3 linked regions of the Yarrowia lipolytica genome follow. The protein of the gene in region 1 binds, or shares a complex with, the protein of each later gene. Links are inferred from orthologs where the notes say so. Each region holds a gene or a part of one and is shown in the gene's direction. Other genes may lie near its edges.

Region 1 (10,178 bases):
CTACATGGACTTGACAAGGGGCTCCAATGACCACTGGAACAGATGACCGTCAACTGAGTTGAGTCAGAAGGATGATTAGCTCAAGTCATCGACCCAATTCTACCAGCTTCCATCCTTTTTCAGACTCCCGGGGAATAGAATTACGGTTGCCTGTTATTACATATTACTGTAGACCGGATTGTGACTACGGAAAGTCCTTGAGGGGTGTGGTTGATGATCCCTGAGTAGAACATGGGGAAGCTGAGGCGGAATATTTCCCCACAGAAATAGAGATATCTGATCAAGTCTTATTTTTATTCAATTGCGAGTACCTTACCACAATAATCCCTCTTCTTGGTAGCAACCATGGTGTGCTTCCGGAGTGCTTTGTGAGGGAAAATTCTAATTCGATTTTTTGTGGTATACATAACAACAGTCTCCAACTAGCCAGGTTTTTTGGTGTAGGAAACGCGACTGAGACAAAATCAACTCAGCACCAGTGTCTGCCTCGCCAACGTTTCCCCGCTCGAAAATGTATCCAAGTCGCCCATCGCCACACAATCCAGCCTGTTGACGTCATGCTAAGGTTAAGCGGCTCTTGTGCCATGCGGCTCGGAAATTGTCTCATAGAGGACATCACTTCGTGGAAGCGCCTGATCGGATATGAACACCACTTGGCACAGTAAAGCAGCAACAACCAGAGCAGGCCGGATTATCCTGGAGGGTGATGTACAACAAACGGCTTTACTAAGGGTTCAATTAAGGTGGCGATTCGGGCTGGAAAGTTCCAGAAACCACTACAAAATCCGATGGGCTGTCACTAGTGTTCCATGGGATTCTCCCAGGTACAGCGTGCCTAAACACCTTTTTTCCAAGGAGTTCCACAGCCCTCCGCAATTGGGTTTGCCACCACCCGACATTATTTCCAACAGGTTCCAAGTCGCTTAATTGACTTTTAGATAGGCTCTAGGCGTGCATATGGCGCATAGAGTTAGATATTCTCCAATGTTCCAGAGACCAGGTCCATCGTGACATGCGATAAGTATATATAGCCCCAGGGGTCTCCGGTCAATTCGATCCTTACAACACATTTCAACAACAAAAATGCCTAACACATCTGTAGGAATTGACCTGGGAACCACATACTCTTGTGTGGCTCACTTTGCCAACGACCGAGTCGAGATCATCGCCAACGACCAGGGTAACCGAACCACCCCCTCGTTCGTTGCCTTCACTGATACCGAGCGACTCATTGGTGATGCCGCCAAGAATCAGGCCGCCATGAACCCCTCCAACACTGTCTTCGACGCCAAGCGACTCATTGGCCGAAAGTTCTCTGACCCCGAGGTCCAGAACGATGCCAAGCACTTCCCCTTCAAGATTGTTGACAAGGGAGGAAAGCCCAACATCGAGGTGGAGTTCAAGGGTGAGACCAAGGTCTTCACCCCCGAGGAGATCTCTTCCATGATCCTCACTAAGATGAAGGAGACCGCTGAGGGCTACCTCGGTGGAAAGGTCACTGATGCCGTCATCACTGTCCCTGCTTACTTCAACGACTCCCAGCGACAGGCTACCAAGGACGCTGGTCTTATTGCCGGTCTCAACGTCCAGCGAATCATCAACGAGCCTACCGCAGCTGCCATTGCCTACGGTCTGGACAAGAAGGAGGCTGGTGAGCGAAACGTTCTCATCTTCGATCTTGGTGGAGGAACTTTCGATGTCTCCCTCCTCTCTATCGAGGATGGTATTTTCGAGGTCAAGGCCACCGCTGGTGACACCCATCTTGGTGGTGAGGATTTTGATAACCGACTCGTCAACCACTTCGTCCAGGAGTTCAAGCGTAAGCACAAGAAGGATATCTCCACCAACCAGCGAGCTCTCCGACGATTGCGAACCGCTTGTGAGCGAGCCAAGCGAACCCTGTCTTCTTCCGCCCAGACCTCCATCGAGATCGACTCTCTCTACGAGGGTATTGACTTCTACACCTCCATCACCCGAGCCCGATTCGAGGAGCTCTGTCAGGATCTCTTCCGAGGTACTCTCGAGCCCGTCGAGAAGGTCCTCCGAGACTCCAAGATCGACAAGTCCGCCGTCAACGAGATCGTTCTTGTCGGTGGTTCCACTCGAATCCCCAAGGTCCAGAAGCTTGTCTCTGACTTCTTCAACGGTAAGGAGCCCAACCGATCCATCAACCCCGATGAGGCTGTTGCCTACGGTGCTGCCGTCCAGGCCGCTATCCTCTCCGGAGATACTTCTTCCTCCACTCAGGATCTTCTCCTTCTCGATGTTGCTCCTCTCTCTCTTGGTATTGAGACTGCCGGTGGTGTTATGACCAAGCTCATCCCCCGAAACTCCACCATCCCCACCAAGAAGTCCGAGACCTTCTCCACTTACGCTGACAACCAGCCCGGTGTCCTGATTCAGGTCTTCGAGGGTGAGCGAGCCCAGACCAAGGATAACAACATCCTTGGTAAGTTCGAGCTGTCCGGCATTCCCCCTGCTCCCCGAGGTGTCCCCCAGATTGAGGTCACCTTCGACGTCGACGCCAACGGTATCCTCAACGTTTCCGCTGTTGAGAAGGGTACCGGTAAGACTCAGCAGATCACTATCACCAACGATAAAGGCCGACTTTCCAAGGAGGATATTGAGCGAATGGTCAACGATGCTGAGAAGTACAAGGAGCAAGATGAGGCCGAGGCTGCTCGAATCGCCGCCAAGAATGGTCTCGAGTCCTACGCCTACTCTCTCAAGAACACCCTCTCCGAAGAGAAGTTCAAGGAGAAGGTTGACGAGGCTGACCGAGAGAAGCTCGAGAAGGCCATCAACGAGACCATTGAGTTCCTTGACTCTACCCAGTCTGGTGCTACTGAGGAGTACTCCGACAAGCAGAAGGAGCTTGAGGGTGTTGCCAACCCTATCCTCATGAAGTTCTACGGAGCCGAGGGTGGTGCTCCCGGCGGAATGCCTGGTGCCGGTGGCCCCGGTGGCTTCCCCGGTGCTGGTGCTGGAGGTGCTCCTCCTCCCGGCGCTGGCGGCGAGGGCCCCACTGTCGAGGAGGTCGACTAAGTATTTTAGTACCTTGTATTTATAGAAAATTGATTATTAGACAGACATTTGAACAGTATGTGCACTTTGTTGTAACAACATTCAGTACCAGGTGACAAGACGACCAGGGAACCCCTTTTTTACCCCAATTACTTGGAACACCAACTTTATACAGCAAAAAAAACACCTTTTCTTCCACTTCCTTCACAATTGCTCTGTAAATATACATTAAATATATGGTGTTTTGACAGTACTGTAACTATCTGTGTACTACAAGTAGCAGTGGCATGTTCCCCATATGCAGAGAGCCCCGAGGAATAGGCTACACGCATATCATGTCCCATGTCCTAAAGAGACAAGTGGAGGCCCAAGTGGAGGCCCATAGAGAGCTTGCGCTTCGCTGTTGGGGCACCATGTCAGACTGTGGGTAGTTGCTTCAGTTGCTTGGCATCTGATCACTGGCTAATTCTGAACAGCAACCTCCATGACCTCGACCTTGCACTTGCCCTTGACCTCAGCCAAAACAAACTCGTTCACGGGTCGGAACTGACCAGGATCAATGGAGCAGACCAGCTCGTCGTGGGTCTCCTCCTCGACTGTGGCTCCCATATCGGTCTTGAGCTTCTCTCCTAGCCCCAGCTTCTTGACATCGCCAGTCACTCGAATTCGCATACGAGCTCGAGCAATGGGAATGATCTGCTTCTCCACCAGCAGCTTGATGGCATCCATGGCCTGGATCTTGGCGGATTTCTTGGGCACAATGTTGAACTTGAGCTCTCCAATCAGAGCCTTCTCAATCATGGTTGCAGTATAAGGTCGCTTGGTCTTGGAGTTGACACATTTTTGCGACACAAGCTGGATGATCTCCGTTTGCAGCTGGTTGCTCTGCTGCTGTCGCTCCTTCTCTCCAAGCTGGAGTTCTCCGGTATTGAGAATCTCCAGAATGATCTTGTCCTGGTCAGTATGTCCAAAGGCGGCCTTCATGTCGTCTCGAGGCGCAGTTTGTCCCTTACCGACATTGACAAAGACTTGAGGGATCTGAAGAACCTCATCAAGGTCGGTTTCCACTCCCTTACGCCAGTCCTGGACCTTGTTTTGGTAACAAGCGATCTCGAATCGCTTTCGGCCCTTCTTGAGTCGCACAAGAGCCACGTTGGTCAGTTTGATCTGTCCGGATGGTTGCTGAATTCCGGCCATTGTGTATTGTGTGTGTTAACGAAAAAGTGTTAGTAAAAGCTTGGTGTTCGTCGGTAATTCCAGGCGGTTCGACCTTATATATATCGAAGCAGAATTTAATTGTTAATCGACAGGACTGCATGTAAGCTGCATAAACCCAGAATATTGACTATCGAGCAAAGATGAATCAAATGGGCGTCAGAGATTGAGTGTCAGTGCTTGTGTCGATATATATGTATACAATATTCTTAGATTGATTTCATACCAATTTCTTTGGCTCAGGTTCTTTCTCATACTAGCCGGTTCTACTCCACAAGTACTGGCACACTGTTTCTGTCCCAGCTTGCCTTTATCAGAGAACACGCTTCGACTGACCGATCGAGAGTCATGCAATGATATTAAATTTTATTCTAGTTCAGTTGTCCTCTGGTGCAATGATCACAAGTGTGGGCTATGGGCGCGGTAGCACCTGTGTTCCTAGGGGGGTGCTGTAGGTGCAGTAGGTGCTGTCGATCACAACTGATGAACGTGCTTACACTGTGTGTACCGGGTCGACTGTCATTTTATCAAGTACAGGACAGTACTTGTAGTTGTACCATAGTCAACCGCAGAAATAACAGCTCAGACTCGTCGTAAAGAGTCTGGTGATAGTCCCACTGCAGGCACACGAATCGACGGGTGTCACAAGGCTCTTTTTCAACCACTCCCACACCTCCACACAATCCAACACCCATAATCAATTACCAAACACGGCAAAGCTTGACTCCCTCAAGAACGTCGTCGTAGTCGTCCTGACTGACTCGGCCGATGGACACAAACACAGTTCGCACCTCTGTGGGCGAGTCCTTGACTACCTGGGACGCCACCTGGACAGCTATGATCTGACCCAATGTGTCAGCATTGGAGCCTCCAATTAGCGACATGGGAGTGAGATGAGTGAGTGGCAGATTGCTGATGTCTTCGCCTTCGTCGTCATATTCGGTATGTGCAAAGAACTGATTGCCTGGAGATAGTCTTAGGGGAACATAGTATGATCTAGTGTATGCTCCTTTGCTGTGGATATTGACGAAGATCTTGTCGTTGAATGCATAGGTGACAATGTCTAGATCTTTGATAGTCGTGTGTTTTGAAGGGATCATTGTATGAATGTTTCTTTTCTGTCAGATTGTGAATGTTACCTACTTGTAGCAAGATGTGTTCGTTGATAATGGACCAGAACTCTATTCACGAACTACAATTACGAGTAATGGCGCGAGGCATCTACCTGCTGTACTACTGTGAAGTAGTTTTGAAGGACCGAAGACCTACAGTTATGTTATTATAATAATAAAAAATAGAGACTATGGAGTAACAGACTATTCATAGTATTGTGCGAATGAGAAACTTCTTCTAACTCTGATCTATGTAATATTTCGAAATATAATCAACCAATCTGCCGAAATAGCCACGGTCAGTCTACAGTAAAATATACGGCATACTCACTCTTGAAGTGCTGCTTAATCAATACCACAAACACCACTATAGACATGTCACCCTGCTCTCCACCCATCACCCACTCCTTCTATGCCTCTGAGTCGGCCTCAGTTCATATCGACTATCGACACAACGCACTCATTTTTTTCATGCAGTAAGCAGGAATGAGGTGTTCTACAGTGGACACAGCAAACAAACTAAATAGCTCCGGAGAAATGATATTCTGACAATTGAAAAACATGACTCAAAAATATTGACGTGTCAAAACAACTACAATGTCTCATTTTTTTCAACGACTCTTATCGCCACCGAAATAATGACCACGAGGTGGGCTCAACGAAACCTTATTTGGCTAACATGGGAACCAAATCGTGTCTTTATTTTGCGTGTTCATGTGCATGAGGTTTGTGAAAGTCTAAGAACCTCAGCACCAACAAACAGCAATGACCTCAAGGTGAGTACCTATTGCGATGAAGGCTCTCTTCCGTGCACAGCAACTAACTCAGACATCAACTCTTTGCCTCCTCGGCACAATACGGATCACCAGCCTCCAGCCAGGCTTCTTCTCGAATCAACACCCCTCAACCTCCACAGCCGTACGCCGGGTCGTCTTCGTCCTTTGGAGAGGCCAAGCCCTACGTTCCCGAGCAGGAGGAGTACGATCCTAAAAGCCACAAGCAGTACTCGACGTCGATGCTGTCGCAGTTGGAGTCCCAGAACGACGAGCAAATGGAGGGTCTGTCTGCTAAGGTGCAGCTGCTGAAGGACGTGACCAGCAAGATCGGAGTGGAGATCCGGGACTCCAGCCACCTGCTCAACAACCTGGAGGACACTTTTGAAAATGCATCCACGAAACTCAAGGGCACCTTCAAGCGAATGATGATCATGGCCGACAACAGCGGTATTGGCTGGAGAGTCTGGCTCGGTCTCTTCGCCTTCATTTTCCTGTGTTTCTTCTTTGTTTGGGTGAGATGATTGTGGAGGACTGCTTTCTGGTTGGGCCAGCCAGTATTTAGGACTTATTTATGTATTGATAGACTGCACTGTATGTATACAACGAGACACTGTATCGTATTGATTTCTACACATTATAACTTATCTGAATGGTCGCTACCACTCACAAGACTTCGCCAGAATCAAGGCAATCTTCTCCAGTCCCTGCTGGTCCACCTCGTCGAATCCCTCTAGACTGGCACAGTCAATATCAATGACACCGAAGAGCTTACCGTTCAACACAATGGGAACTACAATCTCGCTCTTGGTGACTCCGTCGCATGCAATGTGCCCGGGAAACTCCTCCACATTCTTGACCAGTTGGGTCTTCTGCTCCTTGGCAGCAACTCCACACACTCCCTTGCCCAGAGGGATCTCCTGACATGCAACCTGACCATGGAAAGGTCCCAAAATCAGCTGTTCAGACTTCTTAGGATCAATCACGTAGAAGCCGGCCCAGTTGATGTCGCTGGATGGCTCGGGGAGCGATTTGAGACCGTGCCAGATGATCGACGAGGCATTGGAAAGATTAGCCACCCAATTGGTCTGACCATCAACTAGAGCTTCCACATTGGAGGCCATGGTGTCGTACAATTCGGACTTTGATTCCGACGAGAATCGAGAGTAATCGGCATGGACCATTGTGTGTAATTCAGAAGGTGAATGTTGTATGTGTATGTGTAAGAACAATGACGTTTGTCAAAGTCGGTATGAACGATGGTGTGCGCGTTTGGGTGGAGAAATAAGAGAGCCTAGAGGCAGCTAATACTGTACCTGTAGTTCAAGTCAACTTACCTTACTTGTACTTTCGGCTTTCCCAACGGCTAATTGCTTGATGTGGAGTGTTCTTGGAGGGATGGAGAAATGGGGAGAAGTAGAAAACAAGCTACAGGTACTTGTACTAAATGTTTCAACATATTGGAGCCTTTTCGTAATATAAACCCAGCCACTCTCACATCCATGACTGTAGAAACGCGTCGAATGTTGAAGTGAATAGTAGCGGAGCAATGCACATGGCAGACGCATACAAAACTTCCCTATTATTTGTAGTGGCCCCCGCAAAGGCTCACAGCACCACCTAAGCGAAATGACATGTCTACTTCATACATTATTCTTCTTGTTCTTGGCATCTAATATACGAATATAGAGATCGATAACCGACACTAAGCTACATTGTAGATCAGGTAGTAACCGCTACAATTAGCTTATCGCAATACCCAAAATTGAGACACATCCCCAATTGTTACCTGTAATAGGTTTCCTCTCACACAACGTGCAACGGTTTTTGCGGAGCGGCTATTCCGACGGCAAAATACCTTTAAATAATAATGATACAATAAATTAAGTATATTCTGTTAATCACCTTCGCTCGCCATATCTACCGTACTCCTGTTCCCACAGAAGCAGCTTGCGAGTTAGTCCATCCATCATATCTGCAGAGGTGGAGCTAAGCACCACCTGATCTCCAATCTTGTTCTGGTCACTGGCCATGTCCATCTGTGTGCGGCCAATAAATTCCAGTATCGCAGCTACCCGTCGTCGCATCTCGCTCATTGTAGTTCGTGAATGAGGTACCCGTGGCTTGGATGGCCGCTCGTCATTGTATTCGGGTGTCTCCTTCGGCTTCGGCGAGTTGGCTGCTCCTCCAGCACCCACCGACGTCTTTGTCTTGCGCTTTTTCCGGGCCTTGGCCACAGGCGAGTCCATCGAGTCGCTGCCGTCCATATCCGACTTTGCCTGGAGTTCCTGTTCGCGTTTCCGCTTCGGCGTTTCCGACGTTCCCGAGGCTGCTGCTGACCCGTTGGTTGTTCCATTTGTTGCAGCTGCTGCTCCAGAAGCAGTGCCAGTAGTCTCAGGCGATGACTTTTTGCTACTGCTGCTGTTGTTGGCTGTGGCGTTATTGTTGTTGGTCGTAGAGTTCTTGCTCGTTGTGGTTTCCTCTTTGACCTCCTTGTCCTTGCCTGCTTCGCGGGCGCTCTCCTGAAGCACCCGCTTGAGAGTCTCCTCATATGTGTCTCTGTTGCGACGTCGCGACGAGGTGGTTATCTCACGACGAGAGCTCGAATTGCGTCTGCTGCGAGTTGAGTCACGGCCTGCCTCGCCAGTTGCGTCAGAGATGTCTTCAGAGCCATCATCAGCAGAGCCAGCGGCAGAAGCAGCAGAATCGGGACGTCGACTTCTACCCGTACCTCGCTTTCCTCCCTGCTCGGGGGTGGACCCGGACTGTTGTCTGGGGCCACTAGCAGCTGCAGGCTCCTCTCCATTGCTTCGGGGAGGGTCGCGGGCAGACTCGCGTGTTGCACCAGTGCCGCTGTCTGAGGCTGTCGAAGAAGACGCTCGGCTGCTGCGCTGACGCTTTGGCGGGAGGAGCTCTTCTTCTTTGACCGAAGCCCGGCTACCATTGCCTTCATCGTTGCCATCCTCGTTTTCTTCGTCTTCATCGTCGTCGGCAGACTTGTTGTAGATGGACGTCTGGCCGCTTGGCCGTAGGAAAATCTGATGGAGGTCGGGTCGGCATTTCTCACAGTAATAGACATCGGGAACTTCAGACTCCTGGTACATGCCCACACAGTAGCCATGCTGCCACACAGAGCAAGAATCACACTGGATAAACAGACCCTGATCAATTTCCAGAGCCTTGGCAGCCCGGTCCAGATGCAACTCTTCGTGGCCACAAATGCACCGTGTAACCTCCTCGGACTCCACCAGTCCATCCGAGTCCTCGACCTCCTCATCCTCTTCAGGTACGGCTGCTGCTTTGTCGGCGGCCCGTGACTTGCGCTTTTTGCCTTCGCTGTCACTGGACGCTTCCACCGTGTCGTCATCAAAATTGCGTCTCGAGCGTCGAGCGGACATTGTGTTTGGTTGTTGCTGGTGTAAAAGATGTGTACTGGACGAATTTGGCCGGGGAGTCCAGCCATGCATATTCTTGTTATTAGGGTTTGATTATTAAGCAACATGTACCGTTTAGGATGGTCATTAAGGATAAGAGTGTGATGTTTTAAAATGTGGAATGACGAAGGGAAACGCGTTTCCTGATGTACAAATGCAACAAACGAGCACACCAGTTCAAAGGGGAAAAAAATGTCTCTCTTTCTTGAATACCAAATAAATAATGCAACTATGTAGCGATGTAGACCTATGTACATTTACGTCTCCTCCTCCTCTGTGTCAGCCCCGTAAACAGATCTCTCAATAATCCAGGTGGACAGAATGTACAAGTGGTTGATACCACATCTAACCACGGTATCAACAGCAATAGCGCCGCAGAGATCTGGGAAATCAATCTGCAGGTCATCCCCAAAAGATTTGCCGACAGCAAACCGGAAAAAGAAGAAACCAAACAGATTGGAAGTCATGCATCTCATGATGAAGGATGATCGAAGGAAGTTCTCATATAAAACCGCAAATGGAGGCATATGATGGGCCACTTCGGGTCCCATTTGTCCGTGAGACTTGTTGATTTCAGCCAGATGCGTTCGACCCACCAGACCAAGAAAGTAGTTGGATAC
Region 2 (10,558 bases), on another chromosome or scaffold:
GGGTACATTCGAAGCGAGGCCATTCTGGACGAGCAGGATATCGGCAAGCGAGTGGACATGCTTCCTTACCGAACCTCACAAATGGTGCGAGACAGTCTCTACAAGATCACCGACAAGACCGACGAGACCATGTACAAGACCTCTCTTCTCTATTATCTGTCTCTGCTGATTGGATTCTACCGAGATCGTCACGTCAAGAAGCGGGAGGATATCAAAACCAGACTCAACAACCCCCCAGAGTACCTCATCGACCAGATGCTCTACCGGTACACCACTCCCCTTTCTGGTGGTCACAAATCACAACGGTACCACACTTACATGGTCAACTCCAGAAATGAGGCAATGTTGCTGTGTACTATCATTATTCTTGTGCTGAGACTCAACAACAACGTTGTAGACATTCCCATTCTGTCGCAGGAGGTTGGAATCAAGCCTTCCAAGCTTGCTGACGTTTGCAGACAGGTGGGATGCGCCATTAAGAACGCCTCTCTGACTCACATGGATGATATCGGACGACCTCGAACCGAGGCTAGCCACTGGAAGATTGCCTCGCTCAAGGCTCCGCTTAAGCTACCAGAGCTTGCCCAGCGACGACGAAGAGCCAAGAAATAGACTAATGCATAGATTGATAATGGGTGGAGATTTGGATGAATCCGAGATGAAATATTCTTACAGCGAAGTAGAGAGCACTGCATCAACATTGCTCAAATTCTCACTCTGGTTGGCCATTAGGCAATGGCTCGCTTTGATCCAGTGAAAATCACAGCGGACCCCTCCAGCGACTCGACACAGCGATGTCGACAAGTCTGCTACTGACCAACAGTTACTGACGAAAAAAGTTGAATATACTCGGTATTTCCGAAAGTTTTGAGATGTACCACAATCACCACGGCACATGTAAACAAACACACAAGTAACAATTACTTGTACTGTGCGATGTCTCAACGATCCTGGTGAAAGTACACGCACATAAGAGTAGTAGATTGCTTCTAGAGCTACACGACACAATACATACTCACCTCATTAATCATTAATCTTATACATATGTGGAGCTTAGATAACCTCTTCGGCATCGCTCTCAATGTCATCTCCAAGCAGCTCGTCGTCCTCGTTGATATCAACAGGTGCGTAGTCTCTTGACCACGGTCGGTTGCTACTTCCAGAGTGGCCGAAAATGCCTCGAGCGAACTCGCCGACGCCCTTGAGAGCCTCGGGGATCATGGTGATACCTGCAACAACGTAAGCCAGGCCCTTAAGAGCCTGCTGGACGACAGGGTTGCTGGAGCTGGAGGAAAACGAGTCCTCATCGCCCAGTCGAATGACACCAAACTTGGACTGGTAGTGCTGGAAGATCATGAATCCAATGACACAAGCCATGGCAATAGGAACAATAATGACGAAGAATGTGCCGATGACACCAAGTCCACCACCATGCTTCTTGCTGAACTCGCCCTTCTTACCAGGGCAAGGAATTGCATCAGCCTTGTCGAGCTCCTGGCCACCCTTACAAGTGGACAGGGGGATTCGTCGGTAGCCGGTAGACTCGTAGTACTCAACGAGGTTGGGGTTCTCCTTGCATTGGAGGGCGTGATCAGGGGGACTGGCACCCTTGACAAGCTTACAAGTTCCGTCTCGGTCTCGGACGTAGTTGAAATCACACTCAAAGTCCTCTCGAGTGCACTCACAGTCCTGGACAACCTTGTGTGGTTGGATGAGCTGTCTGCCAATGTAGCACTTGGAGTCGACCAGCTTTCGGTAGTACTGAGTCTCGTGGCCAAACAGACAGTTGCTCTGCTGAGTGGGGTTTCTGGGAGACCACAGCTCGTAGTCATCTCGGTCAGGATTGGACTCGTCCAGCTTGCACTGTCGGTCAGAGAGGCCAGAGAAGTCAATGTGAACGGTGGTAGACTGCTCTCCCTTAGACCGGGGAGACTTACCAGTAAGCAGGAATCGTCGAGAGTTATCGTTGGGCACGGTGGAAATATCATCAACCTTGACAAGATCCTCAGAGAATCTGTAGGGGTTCCAGGTGACACCCTCATCGAGAGAGAAGAATACCTCGTTGGTGGGCTCCTCTCCGTCAACAATAACCAGAATAGAACCCTGGTCTCCGTACTCCCACATGTACGCTCCCTTTTTAATTTCCCTCCAAGTGATACCACCATCGACAGTAAGGTAAGTGTTTCCGTCGAGGTATCCCTCGAGGTACTCTCCGACGTTACCGACACCGATCATCATACCAACAGCAGAGGCAGACGTGTAAGTATCTCGGTAATCCTTTCGCTCGGTGAAGCCGTGCAAGTTAAGAGAGCACTTCTCCAGAGACTGTCCAGAACACGAGTAAGCCTTGCCTTCAGTGTCAGCGGGGGGAGGGTTCAGGTATGCCCATTGTCCACCATCGTTGTGGGTGATCATGGACTTGAGCTGCTTTCGCGAACCCCTGGAGGCCTGTCGGGCATTGATGACAATGTTGGAGACAGCCACACCCTCGAGGTTAGCCATCTTCTCAAAGTCGACAAAGCCGACTCGGTTTCGGTTAACCTCATTGAGAGAAAGCATAAACGAAGTACCGTAGGAGTTCGACTTGAGAATGGCGCCGTACTCGGAGTTGGCCTTTCCGTTGACGGTAACATGCAGGAAAATGGCGTGGGTGGTAGATTGCAGAACGGTGTAGGCCAGCTGTTTGGGGACCTTAAAGTCCGGAGGGAATCGAGCCACGGAAAAGGACTCACCGTCCACGGATGTCTGGCACTCGAGAGTCTCGTCCTCGTCATTGATGACGGCAACAACGAGGAACTCCTCAGCAAGAGCGAAATCAAGCACGTTCTCGTGGGTCACTCTTTGGTTTCGGAAGTTGTCAGTAGAATAAGCCAGTCGGGACTTCTTGACGCCACCCTCGTTGTACTCAAACAGACAGTACATGAGGTTGTTTCGCTTCTGATCCTTGAGTCCGTTAACGTACTGGCACATGATGGCTCCGTTGCCGACCTCGGTCCATCGGCCTCCGTTGTTGTTGGTGTAGTGAGTGACCACCTTACATCGAGGGGACAGCTCGTCTTCACAGCCTTCGGATCCGGTCCAGATGAAAGCGTCCTTGTTGTTTCGGTCAAAAGTCATCAATTGCAGGCCTCGCTGGTTCGGGGGAGCAGGTGTTCGGAACGACTTGAATGACTCGCCCTTATCAATGGTGAAAAAGACCTTCTCGTCGGGGGTCAAAAAGTAAACTCGGTTCTTGAAGTGGGGGTTGGGGTAGATGGCAATGATGTCCTCGCCCTTGAGCACCTGCTTGAAGGTCTTGCCCTGGTTGTAAGTGACATAGAGATCGTTTTTGGAGGTTCGCAACAGCACCACCTCGGCGTCGTCGGGAGACGCATTGGTCATATCGTTGGTGAGATAGTAGTGCTCAACAATGAGTCCCGAAAACTCGTTGATGGTGGAGCTGATTTTTGTGCTGAGGTCATCGTCAGCCTGCGCAAATAACGCCAGCGACGCCACGAGCACCAGTAGCCGTGTCAATAATCTCATTGTGTGGGTGTGGTGAGTGTGGTGAGTGTGGATGTATTATGCGTTGTCCCTGTGCGTCTACTGGAGATAGCTAAAAGGGTTCGATAAGTGGCTGTGTTCACGTGACCAACTGAAATTAAGCGGGTGTGAGCAACAGAATGTGATGATAGTGTGTAATCAAAGCAAAGAAAATGAGCTGATGTGAGATGGAGCTGTCGTCAAAATCCAGCTCAAACGTTTTAAATTCACTGTCGCTTCGCGTGGCGCTCGCTAAGGTGTATCGTCTTGCTAATGTCGTGTTCAGTGTGTGCCAAAACGGTAGAATTGTAGATCACTGGGGACAGCCGCCTATAAATGATTTCCAAAAAAGTGAAAAAAAACGTTTTCAAGGGCTCGGACCGGTGAAAAATTTACACTCTTTTTGTGTTTGGAATTGGGGTGGCTAGCCACGGACGGGGGTAGACACGCCCTGTGATTGGATAGCAAAGTCTTGGCTTTTTATCAGATGCGCATGCGTCTCTCATGGGCCATATAGAGGGACGTTTAGCAGGTGCTAGTGGATGAAAATGTAACGTATTCAGGTGCGGATTCGTCTTTGGTGGTCTCAAAACTCCCATCCCAACCTCGATCGCTATCCGAAACCGCCGTTTTTGCCACCCCAGGCTCCTCCCATCTAATGGTGTGGTGGCAATTATGCACACTCATCAGATAAATGTCTCTTTAGAATTCCGCCAAGCGCATGTTCTGCAGCGCTAACAATGTACTACAGGTGGCACTGGCGACCTCCGAAACTAAGGCTTCTTTCCTAAATCGAAAACCTCGGATTCGTCCCTATTATTGATGACTAAAGTAGTTGCACTCGGATGAGTAATCACCGAGACAAGTCTCACACTATCATGTTCGTATTTGGCCTCCCCCCGCTTATTCCGCACTAACCTTGTTGCGATCGCCTGCTCCTTTTGGCAGCGCCCGAACTGTATATGCCGAAACCTAACACACAACACACACACAATGTCAGCATACCAGCGAGAAGAGCAAAACAACACTCGGCTCGAGGAGCTGGCGTCGAAAATCTCGTCTTTGCGGTCTGTCACCAATGACATCCACGCTCAGGCTAGCGATTATTCGCTTATTGATTCCACGGTGAGTATGACGGAGAGTGGTGGTCCATGAGGTTGTCATGCGGAGACGCACACAGAGAGAGTGATAGAGAGAGGAGAATGGTGCTAGAAGTCGAGGAAGTACCCAAAAGATGTGGCGATGATTCCTTGATTCTGATCATATTCACGACGTGCCATGGTAGTTGATTATCTTGTTGAACTGGAGGGATCACATGCTCACGGGCACGCGAGATTATAAAGTATGTTTTCTCAGCAGGCTGAAGAAGACCGAGCACGACATTTCATGATCCGAACGGCTTGAATACTTGATCTGAATGAAGCTCTGCCTTCATCTGGCGGGTCTGGTCTCACTATCTTTGTTCTATTGGCTTGTTTTACGAACACCTCTGACTTAGGGGTGATCTAAGAGTACGAACTTGGATACTGGCATTCTCTCGATCTGCTGGTTTCATCTATGGTATTATTATGTGTCTAGGACGTCCTCAGCTGGCTTCAACTCCTTTTTCCTGTATCGTGGAGCAGGGGAACCTCAAAGGAATGCAGTACCGGGGCGATTGTACCCTTCCTAGACATTTCACCCAGTCCAAAACCTCACTTCTTTTACCCTACTAACCCAGACGGACACTGTTGGAAACATGATGACCTCGGTCCGAGGGTCTGCTTCCAAGCTTGGACGGTCGCTCAAGGCCGGACACCCCATCTGGCGAACTGTTGGCATTGCTCTGGCCATCATTCTCCTGCTGTGGTTTCTGTTCAAGTTTTTTTAATGCATGAGGAGAGTAGAAGTACTGGTAGTACCATGAGCGCGTTCGGCGCTGTGTTTATAACTAAGAAGATTGATCGTAACACCACAGTACCGATACCCACGTACTGATCTCATAATACGCAAAGCCTTATCCTATATAAACAGAGAGCGCTGTTTACTTACTCTCGTCCTCCACCAACGTTAATATCCTTACCCAGCCGGTAGTTGGAGATGGATTTGCCCCAGTTGATCTTAGATCGAGTCACGGGCAGCTGTCGTCGCAGGGCCTTAAACGAATCCTCGTTTAGACCGTTAAATGACTTGTTGAGCTTCTCCTGGAACTGCTGCTCGGCTTTGGAGATGGCGTCCACAATGTCAGATTCGGACACAGAACCAAGGTCCACCTTCTCGCTGGACTTGAGACGGACATTTCCGTCCTCGTAGTAATGCACATCCACGTCGATTGTTCCGCTCAGAGAGCCACTCTCGAAGATGTACACAGACCGCCACTTTCCGTTCCAGTAGTTGGCAGGGTTATACTTGCCATCCACAAGCACAAGGGCGATAGATCCGTCATCCTGAGGAAAAACCCCAGCAGCCCCCTCGGAGGGGAAGTGGGCAGAAAAGTACTTATCGAGAGCCCCTTGGATGGGCGAGTCAGAGCCATGGGAGCCCGAGGGGGTGGCCTTCTTTGTATCAAAATCGAACTCGAACTTCTGGCCACTCTGGCTGTCATAGAAGGTGTCCTTGGAAAGCTGGTTATATTTAGAGACCAGGGACTTGGACTTGCCGAGAGACACAACCATGCATTGGTCGAGAATCTTGTTGTGAACGTCGGTTTCCAGTTTGGACAGAATCGAGCTGTTTCCATCAACGACGGTGCTGATGGCCTCAACGACCTGGTTGAGCTGCGTTAGTATGGGGGTACAGAAAGACGTTCAATTGGATCTAATTAGCGGCCTGCAAGATATCAAGGCACGCGTTTCAAGTTCAAGTTCAAGCAACCGAAGTAAATGACGTGACAACATAACCCGTACATCTTGATACAGGGGAGACTCCGTATCAGGCCCGTGCTGACAGCGCACGAATCCTCAACATCCGTCCGCCAACAATTGATACTCACCTCTCCGGGAGGGGCGTCGGCCACGAAATCGGCCAGGGCTTCTTGGTTCGATCGAGACATTTGTGTGGTGTGTTGAGGAGATGGTGATGTATATGCACACCACCAACAGAGTTAGCATACGTGTGATAAGTGAGCTATTTTTGGACTGATATTGGCGGTGATGAGTGAAGGAATTGGAGTAGGAGGGAACAAATAGAATAATTTAGAAGAGTCGATAATATAACCGGTGCGGTTGTATTCGTCCAGACTCCGTTCTCGGACTTCGCAGTCTAGGAACAGCGGTTACTTGACAAACCTTATTAGTTGACCACTTTACTTACCGAATACTTACAGTGAAAGTTGGTATTACAGTATGCTGAAAAAAAAACAAGAATAGTACAGTCGTGCAGAAGTGAAAATGACGAAGTCACTTCACTACCAACTACAGTATTGAGCTTCTGTTATCCTTTTTATCCATTTCAACTATCTCCCATAGTTGTGAATGTATACGATGGAATTGTGCCTCAATCATTCCCTAAACTCCATATATTAAATGCGATTCTATAGTTTCCAGTTGTCGTTTCTCTTCATTCATGTTTTCTTCGCCCTTCATCCACGCTAGAACTTGGAGAGCCATGTCTGTCCAGGGACCAGCATCTTGGCTGCGAATACCATGAATCCTCCTACCATCATGGTAACTCCTGCAAACACCTGAAGTCCGACAAAGCTGGTATGTCCTTCGTCCAGGGTGGCTCCTGCAATAGGCATGGCAGTAAGAGCTGCCCAGGAGCAGAAGAAGGTGACTACACCCAATCGCCTCCCAATTTCATGTGGCTCGGACACTTCCGCCACAAGAGCTGCAAACAGACCAATATAGGGTCCAGAGATGAATCCGAAGACTCCAGAGAAAGTGAAGAAGGCCGCGTTGCTGTTGGAGGGGATCCAGAAAGCCAGAAGAATGATACCACAAAGAACACAGCATACGGAATGCATGTTGTAAGTACCCACCTTGTCAGCCATTATACCCGGCAAGATTCTACCCAGAAAGGAGGCTCCGTTGTAGATTGCCACGAGGTAGAAGGAGACTGTTTCAGACATGCCGTGGGAAATAGCGTGGGTGGACATGTATCCCATGGTTGTGACAAGTCCCCAATACGAAACAAACAGCGCCGCGGTCATCATAGCGAACGACTTGTTCTTGTAGGGTTCAATAACCTCTTGTCGGAAATTGAAGAAGTTCTTTCGTAACTTCTTGTTAGGAGGCAGTCGAGAAGAGATGCAAACACAGCAGATGACTCCCACTCCAAGCATGATGTATCCAATGACTCTCACAGTGTCATTAAATCCGATTTTAGGCTGTAGTTGAGAGAAGACGAATGGCAGGGTCACACCTCCAATCGACGAACCTCCAACTACCACACCCAGGGCGGTAGCTCGTCGTTTGACAAACCACGTGTTACACGCGACCATTGATGCGTAGTAGACACAGGAGTTTCCGATAGACGTGCAGATTCCCTGAGCCAGCAGGAACTGGTAGTATGTTTTGCACTCAGAGGTTGCCATGATTCCTCCCACTGTGAAGAGCATACCGACGATAGCCACCGGCCGAGGCCCGTACATCTCAGCTAGTCTTCCGAAGAAAACTCCTCCAACCAGCAGAATGAAGAACTGTAGAGACGTGATCCACGAGACGGTCGATGCCGAGTAGCCGTCTAGTTGATGATGCAGATAGTAGGCCTCGAAAAGACCCACAACGTTGATGTATCCAAATGATGAGTAGAGACCCAGAGCTCCTCCAACCATGGCGATCCAAGCCCGGCCCCTATCGGGCTCAGGGAGCTTCTGCACAAGGGGCTCTTCCTTCTCAGAGATTGAACCGCTGGCCACAACCAACTGGCTTTCCACTGATTTGCAGGACATGTCGGTGTTCGTGGCAGTATATTTCAGTGTATGTTATAATACCGAATCTACAGTGGCCGGGCCACTTCATTAAATACGCGCAACTTCTGCATCTGCTCCAACTGCTTTTCCGAGAACCCGGCCAAAGTTCAGCAGATCGTGGGGAAGTGACAAAGACCATGCAGCATGAAGCTGAGTGTGCGGCTAACTGTGCATATTCATGCCGGCACAAGTAGCTACTCGGATATACTTCACAGGAGGGAGTAAAAAAAAAGCAGCGAAGGATAAAACTGAGAGAAGAAGTCAGACGTCAACATGAAACTGAAAAGCTGAAGGGAAACTCACACCCATTTTTGGGACCTTATTGTTACAAATTGAGGACATCCAGCTATTCGACGTTGGATCTAGTTCAGTGATGCTAACCTTCCTCACGGCTATCGACTCGAAGACATGCTAGCCTACCCTATTTTGGAAACGGCGGCTATTCGTACAAGCGCCGGTACTTGGAGAGAAAAGGAAAAGAGAGAAGACTACAATATTCGTATGAGTTTGGATGCGGGCTTGGTTTGCTTTGGTATACACAGCAATAAGTGAGGGTCCTTACCGGTAGTACGCGATGCCCAGGGAACAAGAACCGTAAACACTAAGGTTCGTAGACGGATATACTAGACAAGAGTAGAGATGAGCAACAGAGACTGCAGGAAGTGCTTGAATACTACAACAGACGACGAGAGATACTTGAACACAGGTACATTTACAAGGTGTTAAATCTATCTACCGTACTTGTACAAGTACTTATCAGATGCTTAAACTATATTATATGAAAAAGACATCTCCGAAACCCAACTTCCAAAACCATCAACTTGAGAATTTGAGCTGGTCATATACAGCAGAAAATTCTCCATACCCTACGTAGTCATATTCACTGAAGATTCGACAAACCTGTATCTACTGTATATTGTACTATGGAATTGTGTTGCTGGTTATTCGGGACTGCTGGTGCCTGTGATATTCACCTATGTCAAACAGACAAACAGATACTGTAACTTGAAGTGCTTTTTAAACAACTTCAATCTAAAATAACGCTCTACAGTAACGATGACACAGTTCAAAATTATCAGATCACACTGTGCCTAACCTCTGTAGGGTTTGTGTCGGACTCCGCAGACATACAGTGACAAGGCTTGATACGGACTCCGACAAGATGAAAAAATTACCTTCATATGTCTCAAGCGATGATGAGAGCTTCTACACGAGACGTAAATCAATCGGACTCGAAGCATCAGAACAGAAAAAGGGGAAAACACGGTCTTATATACTACCACGTACTGGAGGCCACTGTTGCTCAGCATCAGGACTCACTCTTAGCTGTTCATAACTGCTATTTCCTTCTTGTTGTTGCTCTGGTTCATTGACCAGAACATGTAATAAACGAGAAGAAACGATACAGTATGCGTCGATCTGCGACTTCTTTCGCGACCGGAGCACCGAAAGTCGCTCGGAGCTTGCTTTCACTGAAACGAATGTATGATTTACTGCATGTGTACACTGCAGCTTATCAGATGAACTGATATCAGATGGATGCAGATCTAAGGGTTCGGTGCCTCGGCAACTTCAACAAAGAGACAAGCTATTACTAACCCTCAAGAGAAGATTGAGCAACGTCATGGAACAGTTCGCTTATCAAAAATTTCCATAATTGGTGTGAGCGTGGTTCGTGAAAACAATCTGGTGATTACATAATCGGGGCCACTATCAAGTGATTCCTGAGGCTGGGAATGTGTATTATGTAGTCACTCACAAATGAAGTACAAACCGTGATATATCCGTGGGTATCATCTGATACTCTTCATGTTCGACTCTTATTATCCTGATCGCTTACAATACCTGTACAGTAGCTACTTGTACTTGTACTTGCAATCCCTGCTGTAATTAGAATTTCTGTCTATTTACTCCACGTACCGGTACCACGCATAAACTCTACGCGCCAACGCGATTAACGACAATGTCATCGTTCGAAAAAGTGCTGCTGAACCAGCCGGTGGTGTTCGACAACGGCTCGGGGACCATCAAGGCGGGCTACGCGGGCGAGGAGCTGCCCAAGACGTTTTTTCCTGCATGCGTCGGAAGAACCAAACACACCAGAGTCATGGCAGGGTCCATGGAAGGAGACACATTTGTCGGCAA
Region 3 (10,485 bases), on another chromosome or scaffold:
AGGTCTGATCAGGCCCGGAGAAGACCTGTCCCAGCGAGGAGTAATGGAGTACCTCAAGGACATTGTCTACGTCACCTGGATCTGCAAGTTTGTGTCCGCCGTGCTCGCCTCCAACTGGGGCTTTGCTCTGTACATCATGATCCCCCTGTACGCCGTCGTCAAGGCCTACACTCTTTACTCCGAGAACAGACCCAAACATTCCGGTTCCTCAGGCTCCACAGCCAACGAAGGCTTGATCCCCAAGTCCAAGCGACAAGAGAAGATGGAGCGACGAGGCGGCCAGAAGGTCACTTACCGGTCGTAATCGATTCGATTGCCCCACCTCTCTCTGCTCTCATCTCGCTACTACCACACTAATTCCAACCTGAGGCATTTACCGTACACGTTGTACATTGCCGGGTTTCAAAATGCTAGCCAATGTATTATATTTGTTGAGCACAACCACTGTCTGGGCACAGTAAAGGTTGTGGTTCCTAACCGTACGTTGTACAGTAACATACTCTTCTCACGATATCTGCTTACACGTATCTATGTACTGTATCGTAAACCGAAGTGTTATCCATCGCTCAATCGCATTCTCCCGTGTCATTACCATCACTAATGGTACACATCGCTTCGTATAACCTCCCCGCAACATTTTTGGTTATTTCCGAACTACACTTGCCATGAATATGTCACTACTGTCATCAACCAACGCTTTTACGGAGCAGATATATCTAAGAGTCCTCCAAGTCGACTTCATTCGATGAAGCCACATCCGCACAACCATAGTAACATTGTTGCAAGATCTGTCTCAGTTGGGTTAGAGTATCGCCGTAATATACTACTTTACAGTATCAATTACTTGCCATACACGGCTAATTAATCATCTAATATAATCTTGAGTAGCTATATGCATGAATCTATGGGGATCATGATCTGGGTGTTGGATGCAGCGGTGGCACGAGTCTATCTCGTTGGTTTATGGGGCTATTCTCAGTTGGCAATTGGTCGTTAGTGCTACCTGGGGGCTGAGTTGACACCCTGCTCCAACGTATTCAAGGCCTGCTCATAGTAAATCGGGGAGTGATCAAATACACCTTTCCCAAGAACAAGCTCCCCAAACCGCCGCTCCACATCCAACACAACCTTGCCAACCACGCGATTGGCCTTCTTGGTTCGGCCCTGGTGAACTTCTAGCAACACATTGGTAGAAATATGGATCACTCGTCCAGGAGGAACAAGCTTCTCATTCTGCATCAGGCCCCGCAGTGTCTTGGCCAAGGTCAACAGATAGTCATCCTGCCGATACATGTACGGCACTCTGCTGGTGGCCAGCTGGGCAAACAGCCGCTTCTTGGTCTCGCCCACAACCCCGCGCTTCTCATCGCGAAATGCAAGAGCTATGGCTTGGAAGTCCTGGAGCATGCCAAGAGACAAGCTGGGCACAATGTCGCAGCCGTACACCACCGAGGTGATGAGTCGCTCGGTCATGATTCGCAGCTGCTCTGAAATGGTAGGGGGACAGCCGTATGTGAAACAATGAACCCGTCTACCAGGGGGCAGCATGGACTGCTCGGAGGTGACAAAATCATCTATCTCGGTGTCGTATACTGTTAGAAGAATGCTTAGTAGTGCTCCAACGCCTCCACCAAGAGAATGGCCACAGATTATGAGACCATACTCGGGGCCCATTCCGTCCATGGCGGTTTTGATGGTTTTCAGAACACGGCTGTTCTTGCGAATCATGCTACGGGCACATCTCAAAATGCCGTGGTGGGCCTTGTATGACGAACCGTGGATCTCAAAGTTCTCATACTCGCACGCCAGATCGGTGAGCACGTCATCTAGACCCCAGGTTCCTCTGATTGTCAGAACGACCGCTTTGGGATCGTGGTCCACAACAATGAAATGATCCAACAGAATGCCACTGGAAGTATCCACCACCTTGTCGCTATAGCTGGATAACAAAATCTGATCGAGACTGACCCCAGCATGATGAGCAAACGCATAATGCTCGGAATGATGGGCTCCAGTGGTGCTGAAAGGCACATCGAACCGTCCAATACCCAAAAGTCTCATGAATGACTGCCCATAAGAGGCACTGGAGAACCGCACGTACCGAGCCAGGTTCTTGGTGAGGTGTCCTGGAGGGTACACTTCGTATTCGCCTGTTCGAGGGACCAGATTCTCGATTCCCATTTCGGAAACAGACCGGGACGAGATCCGTTGGGTCTGGATCGACTCTTTGATATTGTCATCTTCTCTAAACGTTTCATCAGGCGTCTTGATGACAGCGTCAGTCACGTGGTCGCATTCGTGGGGCTCTAGTCGAGCAATACCTTTTCTCTCCCGGAAGGTCTTTTCGCTCTTCTCAAACTTGAGCTCATACCTGATGTTGTTATCATCCAGTCGCTGCCACTTTTCGTAGACGATGCGGGCATCTCGGGGCACGTCCATGTGTGGAGGCAGGCGTTTGGCCACTACTTCGATGGCCACCGACCGGATACTCTCCTCAGTGATTGTGAGAGAGTATCTGGCGTCAGGGGGAAGCAGTGCCACGGCCTGCTCTTCGTTGAAGCTATCTGTAGGGTCGGAGTCGGGAAGCTGCTGGGAGATGGTGACTCCAGTCTCGAGGACAACCACGTCCCAAAGCAGCTGGGTCTCCGCATCTTCAATGTTGTTCCAGGTTCGTGGATGGGCGACGGAGTAGCATACCATGGCTGACAACATTTCCCAGATGCCCACCTGCTGGCCCAGTTCGCGCCGCACCAAGCCTAGAATGTATCTGATTGCTCTGGAGGACTCTGAGTCCCCAAACACAGAGTCTATCACGTGGATCACGTCCTGGGTGGACGACGAGACCGTGTGAATCGACGTTGACGTGAAGTGGAACGAGATGGATGTGAACAGTTGCACTAGCGTGACTGTCTGCTGGGCTGTGTTTATTCCTAGCTCCGCCCAGCCCTCGGCCTTGGGGGTATCTTGGTTGGCCTTGGAAATGAGTCCTTCGATCGCCTTGACAGACAGAGCCAATGACGTCACGGTCGAGACCCGCGCAGACTCTACTGTGGTCTCTGCCGCATATGTGGCGAGCCGGATGCAAATGTTGGCGAACCCTGCTGCTGCTGAAACACAAGAGGCTGCTGCTCGAGGAAGCAGCGACTTGGCGTGAAGAATGCCCGGATGGGCATACATATCTTTCGAGCGGCGGCTGTGCATCGCTGGCGTTTCTGTGGCTCTTTTTTTGCGGGCTTTGTGGCCGTTGATGAGATAAGAAATGACGAGAGCCATGTCCAAAGTAGATGGAGTAACGACGGGTGTGGCCCTTCCAGTTAAGGTCGTGTCGTGTTTGTGTCTCTTTATATGCTTTGAGGTGACCCTTGAGCTACACTACACTACATACAGCACAAAGCGCTTGCAGTAAGGCAAATGGCACGTATATAAGTACAGTCTGACCCTTTGATGTGACCCTGACTGCGCTACCCTACATAGGATATAATGAGACGAGACACCAATTTCAGCCTGTGTGGTCCTCCTGTACAACCGGTGGGTGATCTCTCTCCCTCACTCATCTACTTTTTCTTTCCTCCTATAACTACCATTCTATCACCTATCACTCTCATGTCACAGCCACTACTGTATCAAACTACGCCCACCTACCACTAGTCCTCCACATGGCCATAGTGCATCATGTTCCCCACATACCGGATCAGAGTTGAAGCTCTCCTGGTAACCGTAATCCTGCCAACAGACAAGATTGGTTCTTTAGACATGTCTGACATAGTAGTATTGTATTGTCGATTATTTTTTTCGGTCACGTGCTCTCTCGTTGCTGCTGAGTTTGCCGCCTGACTTTCTGATCAATCGAACGCGTGTAGAGTAGAGTCTCCTGGCCTTCCCGTATCACCCAAACCTCCTGTCTCTCACATGCGTTATCAACGCAGCTTGTCAAAGCCATACGAAGGGTTCTATGGCCCCCTAATGCGGAGCGTAATAGCGAGGGTGGTGGAACGTTATGTCCAGGGGAGGGGAAGGTGATTTATCTGATTAGTCGCTGGGATATATGGGGTGATTTTATGCAACCGGATATGAGATATCTGGGTGATTTTTTGCGGTGCAAATATATACGAAAGGTAACAAGCAGTATTTTGGATTTTGGATTTTGAAATTTTGAGATTAAATTGTAAAAATTAGACACAACATCCAGAAGATAACACATCCAGAAAATAAAACATCCACAAAATAAAACAAGACATATTTGATGAATTGATCTCATAACACGCACCGATACAAATGTATTATAACCAGGCATAAGATGTTATCGCCATGAAACAATAATTCGGCGTCCTACACACGAGTTCCGGTGCTTGTACTTGTACCGTTTGTACATGCTACGGAGCTACTGTATGTATTACAACTATAGTATCTACACGGCGGCGTAATAAGATATGCCTTTGGACTGGACTTGGAGGCACTGCACAACAGCACCATCAACAACACTCACAACTAGCAATACTTCTATGAAAAGTACCAATAAAAATATACCATTCGAATCAAAATTCCCTTCCCATTCTTCTTACACAATCTCGATACAAAAGTTCGAAATTCCGCCGTGGTTCTTAGGACCACTTACTCACGGCAACTCCAAGACACGTACAAGGAGTAACCTGTGAAAGAAAGACATATTACTGTACTACAGTGCAGTACAAATAGAAAGCAATCCAACACCCGAATTTCCACCCGTCTCAACCCCTCCTAATTGCTCCATATCTCCTTACATACAGAAGCTTTGCTCTCACTGTATGTACAAGAGTGTACATAAGCATATGACATAATCATACCCGCCTCACCAACTAGCTCAAAAATGCACCAAAATCCTTGGTGTCTTGATGTGGAGCTCTAAAATATCGTCCATAGGGCCTGTGAAAATTCACAAGTCTTCTAGCACGCCTATATCAGCCGCCAGAGCCAACGCAATATCCTCCACATGAACCTCGGTACATGAAACTTTATTTCGCACCTCACTGATGTGATCTTCAAATATGAAAATGGCCACCATACACAGCAACCAGCGGCCCAATTGATGTAATTTGCCACCCTACGAATTCTTTACGAATTCCACCGGTACTTGCTCAGTTACTAGTACCAATCACGCAAATCAATTTGCTCATACGTGTTAGTATGAGTACAATTCATATAGTCATACAAGTTGGCACATGCACGCCCTACTACTGGTACTGTACTGTCGGAACCGTTCGGGTTCCTCCTCACTTTCAGAATGCCATTCATGCTATCTAAGCCACGCGTCTGCATGACGACGCGTGTATTATATTTTCACCTCCTTGTGTTAATAATCATGTCCTTCTAGCCACTCAGCTTAAACGAAAGCCATGGATCGCTTGATCTTGGCGATGGCCAGACCGGGGTTGAGACCCTTGGGGCAGGTTCGGGCGCAGTTCATAATGGTGTGGCATCGGTACAGAGACATGGAGTTCTCGAGCATCTGCTGTCGCTTGGCGGTGGCCTCGTCTCGAGAGTCAATCATCCATCGGTAGGCCTGCATGAGGACAGCGGGGCCCAGGTACTCCTGCTGGTTCCACCAGTACGAAGGGCACGAGGTGGAGCAGCAGGCGCACAGAATGCACTCGTAGAGACCGTCGAGCTTTCGTCGGTCAGCAATGGACTGCAGGTTCTCCTTACCGTCGGCAGGGACCTCGTCTCGCTGCAGGTAGGGCTCGATGGACTTGTATTGCTTGTAGAACTGGGTCAGGTCAGGGACAAGGTCTCGGACGACAAACATGTGAGGCAGAGGGTAGATCTTCTCCTCCTTGGCGATGTCGGGATTGATTCGGCACAAGCATGCGAGGGTGTTTCGGCCCTCAATGTTCATGGCACAGGAGCCACAGATGCCCTCTCGGCACGACCGTCGGAACGTCAGGGTGGGGTCCTGCTCGTTCTTGATCTTGATGAGCGCGTCCAGCACCATGGGGCCACACTGTGACAGGTCGACCTCGTACTCCTTGAGCTCGGGCTTCTTTTCGGGGGTGTCTGGGTTCCATCGGTAGATGCCAAACTTCTTGATTCGGGGGGCAGGCACCTTAGGGGCCTCGGCGGTGGAGGCCAGGCCTCGAGCGAACACGGGTCGGCTCTTCAGAACGTTTCTTGAGGCTCGGAGCGCGAACATTGTGTGATGGGTGGGTTAGTTGTGTGGAAGAGAAAAAACAAACTGGGGAAGAGAAGGGGACCAAGGCTAAACTATGTACTGCTGAATGCACACACGGCCGTCCATTTGGGAGCGCTTGAATCAGCAGAGTTGTGATTGGCTGAGCGGTGTTTAGGTTAAGGTTCGGGAGAAATCGGGCTGTCTGGGGAAGTGAAATGGGGAGGAGAAGGGTTCTTTGTGCTGGGCGATTGAGTGGACGAATGTGCAATACGAGCACGCCATACTTCTAAACATGCTTCGTTTTCCTTATATTTCTTTTCCGGCGCAAATTCGACCGCTTTTAGACCGCTTTGAACGCGCTCTGTTGTCCCCATTGTCCTCCAGACGTTATTTTACCTCCACGCACAAGCACACATTTGGCGCACTCTAAGTGGTTGTTCGGTCCCGACTCCCAATAACCCGGAACAAACACGTTACCCAGGAATACGAGTAGAGAATATGGAAGGATTCAAGGAGCTGCAAGACGGGTGGCCCGAGGACTGTCACGTGAGATGGAGAGACCAGGTGAGTTAACAGGTTATGAGCTTTGTGCTCCACAAGTCGTTTTTTCTACAAGTTCAGCCTCGTCGGCCAAAAGCCGCAACGTTTGCCACGCACCTCAGGTGTACGTCCGTCATGACCAACCTGTCGTACTCGCTCGTACCCAAGGCTAACTCAGAACCTCCAGATCACGAGAATAGGGCCTTCACACCAAACGGCCAAATATGACATTTTGTGGTCGCACATATACGTGTGTCCGGTGGTATATATGAGCTGTTATAGAGACAGCGAGCCCGTGACGTTACTGGCCGATTTTGTGGCGTTTATGGCGGAGTTTGGGGTGGTAATTACTCCTGACATTGCAATCACTCAAGGTGAGCATCCTCACACCGGTTTGCCCGTGTTTTTTCTGCATCCTTGTAAAACGAGGGAGACGGTAGATCTGGTGATGCAGGATGAGGAGATGCACAAGAGGAGTGAGGCGGAGGTGTGGTTGGAGAGTTATGGCCGAATCGTTGGTCTTCATCGACGAGCGCGATGATGAGATTCACCAGCGGTTTGAGATGACTGATCAAGGAGCTACGCTACAGTTGAATATCGGGGGTGATGGAACTGTGAGTCAGGGATTCACCCAGGCCGGGTCCAAGGGGTCTGTTCTGTTTGGTCATTCCTGTGTATTTGGTCTTGAACGTCTTCCAGGGCTTCGAACCTGGCCCTGGTGGTTCTGAGAGTGACTTTGGTCTATCAAGATAGAGCTCTGATGTCGAAAGCTCTGATGTCAAGAGATCTGATGTCCAATCGCCTGACACCTATGTTCTAGACATATGATACTTGATGCAAAACGTGTTCAGAGTCCAAGTATTTTACTCGTGCGGTTCTTCGAAAGGATTGCTTGCAGCACAGACTGGTTCTTCTGTTCTTCTGTTGGTTGACGGACAAACGCATTGCTCAGGTTCGTCAATCATGGTCTCGAACGTGAATCAGCAGACGAGTAGTTCAGTCGAGTACTGCTAGATATTGACAGGCTAGTTCTAGCTCTCCTGTGATTTGTCCTACCAAACCAAGTACACTTATCGTCTGTTACATCAACAGGAACTAGCTGTTAGAAGAGTTGCCGGTCTGCTTTCTAGAGACATTTCATTCTCGTCGTCAAGAACACCTTGATAGCTCCGACCAAGAGTCTCTTATGTTATTAATTGATTGATTGCTTCTATTACAGCATTCTGTCATTGTAGGAATCAGCTCTCGCCATTCTGTGCCTCTGCGATACCGACTACTGGTGGGCCACTGAACTGAGGTTGTAGTGGATAGTGCTTTGGAGAACATAACCGATCAACTACTCTTTCGATCCAGCATCTCATCCGTATTTGTTCATGACGTCATCCGGTGCCATGCACCTTTTCTATTATACAATAAATAATCCTCCCTGGTTTGAAATCATGACAAGCTCATAGTATGCCTGCCAACCGCTTCATCTCCCATGATCTGAAAGATGCAGATGCTTCTGCCGTTTCGACTGTCGCAAGAAGCTTGTATAGAGCAGGTTCGCGGCTTGTGACTTGCGATGTTTCACAAGTCGTCCACGAGTCACTGGCCCCCGAGGAGTCCAATGCTCACTGCGTTCGATTTGCCGCTACTCTGCCGTGACATCCTCAAAAGGTGCCAACGGAAGAACACTCTCTTCGAATGCGGGAGGTTCGGGAATGGTAAACGAGCCGTCCAACTTGGCAATGGCATGGGACTTGGATCGAGCATACTCAATTACCATCTCTTTGCCCATGAACTCGCTCTTCTGCAGCCCGTTGAGCGCCGAGATCGACGCATCGATATCGTTAAATACCACATGTGCCTGGCCCCGCATCCGCTCGTTTTTCATCGCCACAATGTCGAGAATGTGTCCGTACGAGCTGAATCGCATGTACAGGTACCGTTTGAGGTCCGATTTAGTGCATTTGTCGGTGAGGTTTTTCACGTAGAGCGTTGGCGATGGGGTGGGTTCGTCGCCATCGGTCTTGGACTTTTTCGCAGGCCGCTTGCTCTCCACAAGAGCCGATTCTCGTTTGGTCTTGCCCATGCTGATATGTTGATGGTGGTTAAAAAATCGTGCATGATATCAGAGTAATGGGTTAGGGTCGACATGATACAAGTCGCTTCAAGGGAAATGGTGAGGAGGCTTGTGGTCCACCATACGACCTATTCGGTATTAGTCGAGAGCTGTAAGTCATTTTTTGCGAGCTTTATTCTACCTGACTGCAAGAACCAATACTTGTATTTATCCGCCTTATATTTACACCATCTCCCCCTTCTACAAGTGATCACTCACCTTATGTAATCAAATGAGGGGTTATTAGGGATTCCTCTATATATATATATTATATATATATATGTGTGTGTATGTTGTATAAGTGTCCTATGTTGGTCCCTTGTATTCTCAACCCCCTTCCCTCAGCCTAAGTCGCCGTCCCGGTATTGTCTGTTCTATTATTTGCTTCACAAGCATCATCTCGCTAATTTCATACTGTATCGTGCATGCAGTCAACTCCCACCTGCATGTGCGTCACGGTACGATACCTGTCGCTACGTGTACCTAAGTTCCAGCACCACCAAAAACACCACAAAGCCCCCCAATTATGGCGACCATATCGAGCTCGCGAACACAAGTGCGACGGCTAGAGTCTCAGCTTGCAGAGCTGCTCTCGGAGTACTCCTCTTTTGCCACCTCTCACGCCATAGCAGCCTCCGAAGACGAGGTACGGATTGGACGGGATATCGAGCAGGTAATTGAGAAGACCGCCGACTCCCTGGAGTCGTTCGAACGTCTGCTGGATTCCACCCCTAACGCCACAGCAACACAAACAGGCCAGTTGCAACGCCACAGAGAGACTCTCGCAGAGCACAGATCGCAATACAAGAAGATCAACGCTGGAATCAAGCAGGAACGAGACCGGGCCAACTTGCTGTCGTCGGTGCGGTCGGATATCGAGGGACACAGAAACCGAAGTGCTACTCCCCAGGCCGAGGAGGAGTACATGTTACACGAGCGAGGCCGGGTGGACAACTCAAATAACATGACCGATACTCTGCTTGCTCAAGCGTATGCGACTCGAGAGGAGCTGCTGACCCAGCGGGCGAGTTTGGCCAACATCCAGCGTCGGCTGTTTAACACGGCTAGCAGCATTCCAGGCATTAACACGGTCATTTCCAAGATTAACACCCGGAAGAAGCGAGACAGTTTGATTCTGGCGGTTATTATCACCCTGGGTATTTTGTTCATTCTCTTCCTGAGATAGCAACAGTAAACTTCGAACAAACGGGTTATTTTGTTGTTTTTTTCTGGGAGCATCTTGGGACACAACGTTCAGAGCGAGGTCTCACAGGATATGTTACAGAAGAAGCCCACGGAATTGGCCCTGATGGAAGTTGCCTATGGACCAAGAAGTGAGCGCAACACAACAAATTGGCGCTCGCTAAGGGTGGCGCAAACAGTAACAGTAGCTGCTAGATTCATTAGGTATGCTCTCTGCTGCTAGAGTGAGGTGAAATAGATGAATGTATTTAACAGTAGACTAAGCGTCGCAGTAAGGCTTGTGCCTGTTGCGGTCATTGTATTACCCTAGTGTGTACAATGGGGGAACAGTCTAAGAAGGGGGCTACACTGACCCCTATGTACATTATTTATATATGGATTCATTTTACAGGTTGTTTTTTTTTTGTTGTTTTTTTTTTTTTTTTGGTATATATGTCGTGTGGTTTGCATGTGATGTGTGTGATGTTCATTGATGATTCATATCGTGCTTCGC

Evidence for each region.
Region 2: YALI1_F32546g (region 1) and YALI1_E06119g share a complex: the UniProt entries of both Schizosaccharomyces pombe proteins name them as parts of the SNARE complex. The link is inferred for Yarrowia lipolytica from reciprocal best matches to the Schizosaccharomyces pombe genes bet1 and sft1.
Region 3: YALI1_F32546g (region 1) and YALI1_D30224g share a complex: the UniProt entries of both Schizosaccharomyces pombe proteins name them as parts of the SNARE complex. The link is inferred for Yarrowia lipolytica from reciprocal best matches to the Schizosaccharomyces pombe genes bet1 and gos1.

Annotation. Positions count from the first base shown.
Region 1 is NC_090775.1:3,250,625-3,260,802, reverse strand, and holds YALI1_F32546g (uncharacterized protein), read left to right. Parts: upstream 1-6,116; coding exon 6,117-6,127; intron 6,128-6,179; coding exon 6,180-6,648; downstream 6,649-10,178. Other genes in the region: YALI1_F32597g (uncharacterized protein), read left to right, coding at 1,084-3,045; YALI1_F32565g (uncharacterized protein), read right to left, coding at 3,487-4,221; YALI1_F32554g (uncharacterized protein), read right to left, coding at 4,941-5,339; YALI1_F32534g (uncharacterized protein), read right to left, coding at 6,784-7,308; YALI1_F32512g (uncharacterized protein), read right to left, coding at 8,026-9,591; YALI1_F32498g (uncharacterized protein), read right to left, coding at 9,816-10,178. UniProt on the Schizosaccharomyces pombe protein: SNARE required for targeting and fusion of ER-derived transport vesicles with the Golgi complex.
Region 2 is NC_090774.1:607,463-618,020, forward strand, and holds YALI1_E06119g (uncharacterized protein), read left to right. Parts: upstream 1-4,515; coding exon 4,516-4,647; intron 4,648-5,242; coding exon 5,243-5,392; downstream 5,393-10,558. Other genes in the region: YALI1_E06068g (uncharacterized protein), read left to right, coding at 1-612; YALI1_E06109g (uncharacterized protein), read right to left, coding at 1,054-3,525; YALI1_E06137g (uncharacterized protein), read right to left, coding at 5,550-6,278, 6,494-6,553; YALI1_E06158g (uncharacterized protein), read right to left, coding at 7,091-8,392; YALI1_E06178g (uncharacterized protein), read left to right, coding at 10,377-10,558. UniProt on the Schizosaccharomyces pombe protein: Vesicle SNARE required for retrograde transport within the Golgi complex.
Region 3 is NC_090773.1:3,021,218-3,031,702, reverse strand, and holds YALI1_D30224g (uncharacterized protein), read left to right. Parts: upstream 1-9,315; coding exon 9,316-9,975; downstream 9,976-10,485. Other genes in the region: YALI1_D30319g (uncharacterized protein), read left to right, coding at 1-304; YALI1_D30285g (uncharacterized protein), read right to left, coding at 1,000-3,273; YALI1_D30256g (uncharacterized protein), read right to left, coding at 5,360-6,166; YALI1_D30249g (uncharacterized protein), read left to right, coding at 6,644-6,709, 6,864-7,226; YALI1_D30241g (uncharacterized protein), read right to left, coding at 7,270-7,455, 7,508-7,630; YALI1_D30230g (uncharacterized protein), read right to left, coding at 8,319-8,759. UniProt on the Schizosaccharomyces pombe protein: Nonessential SNARE involved in retrograde transport within the Golgi complex.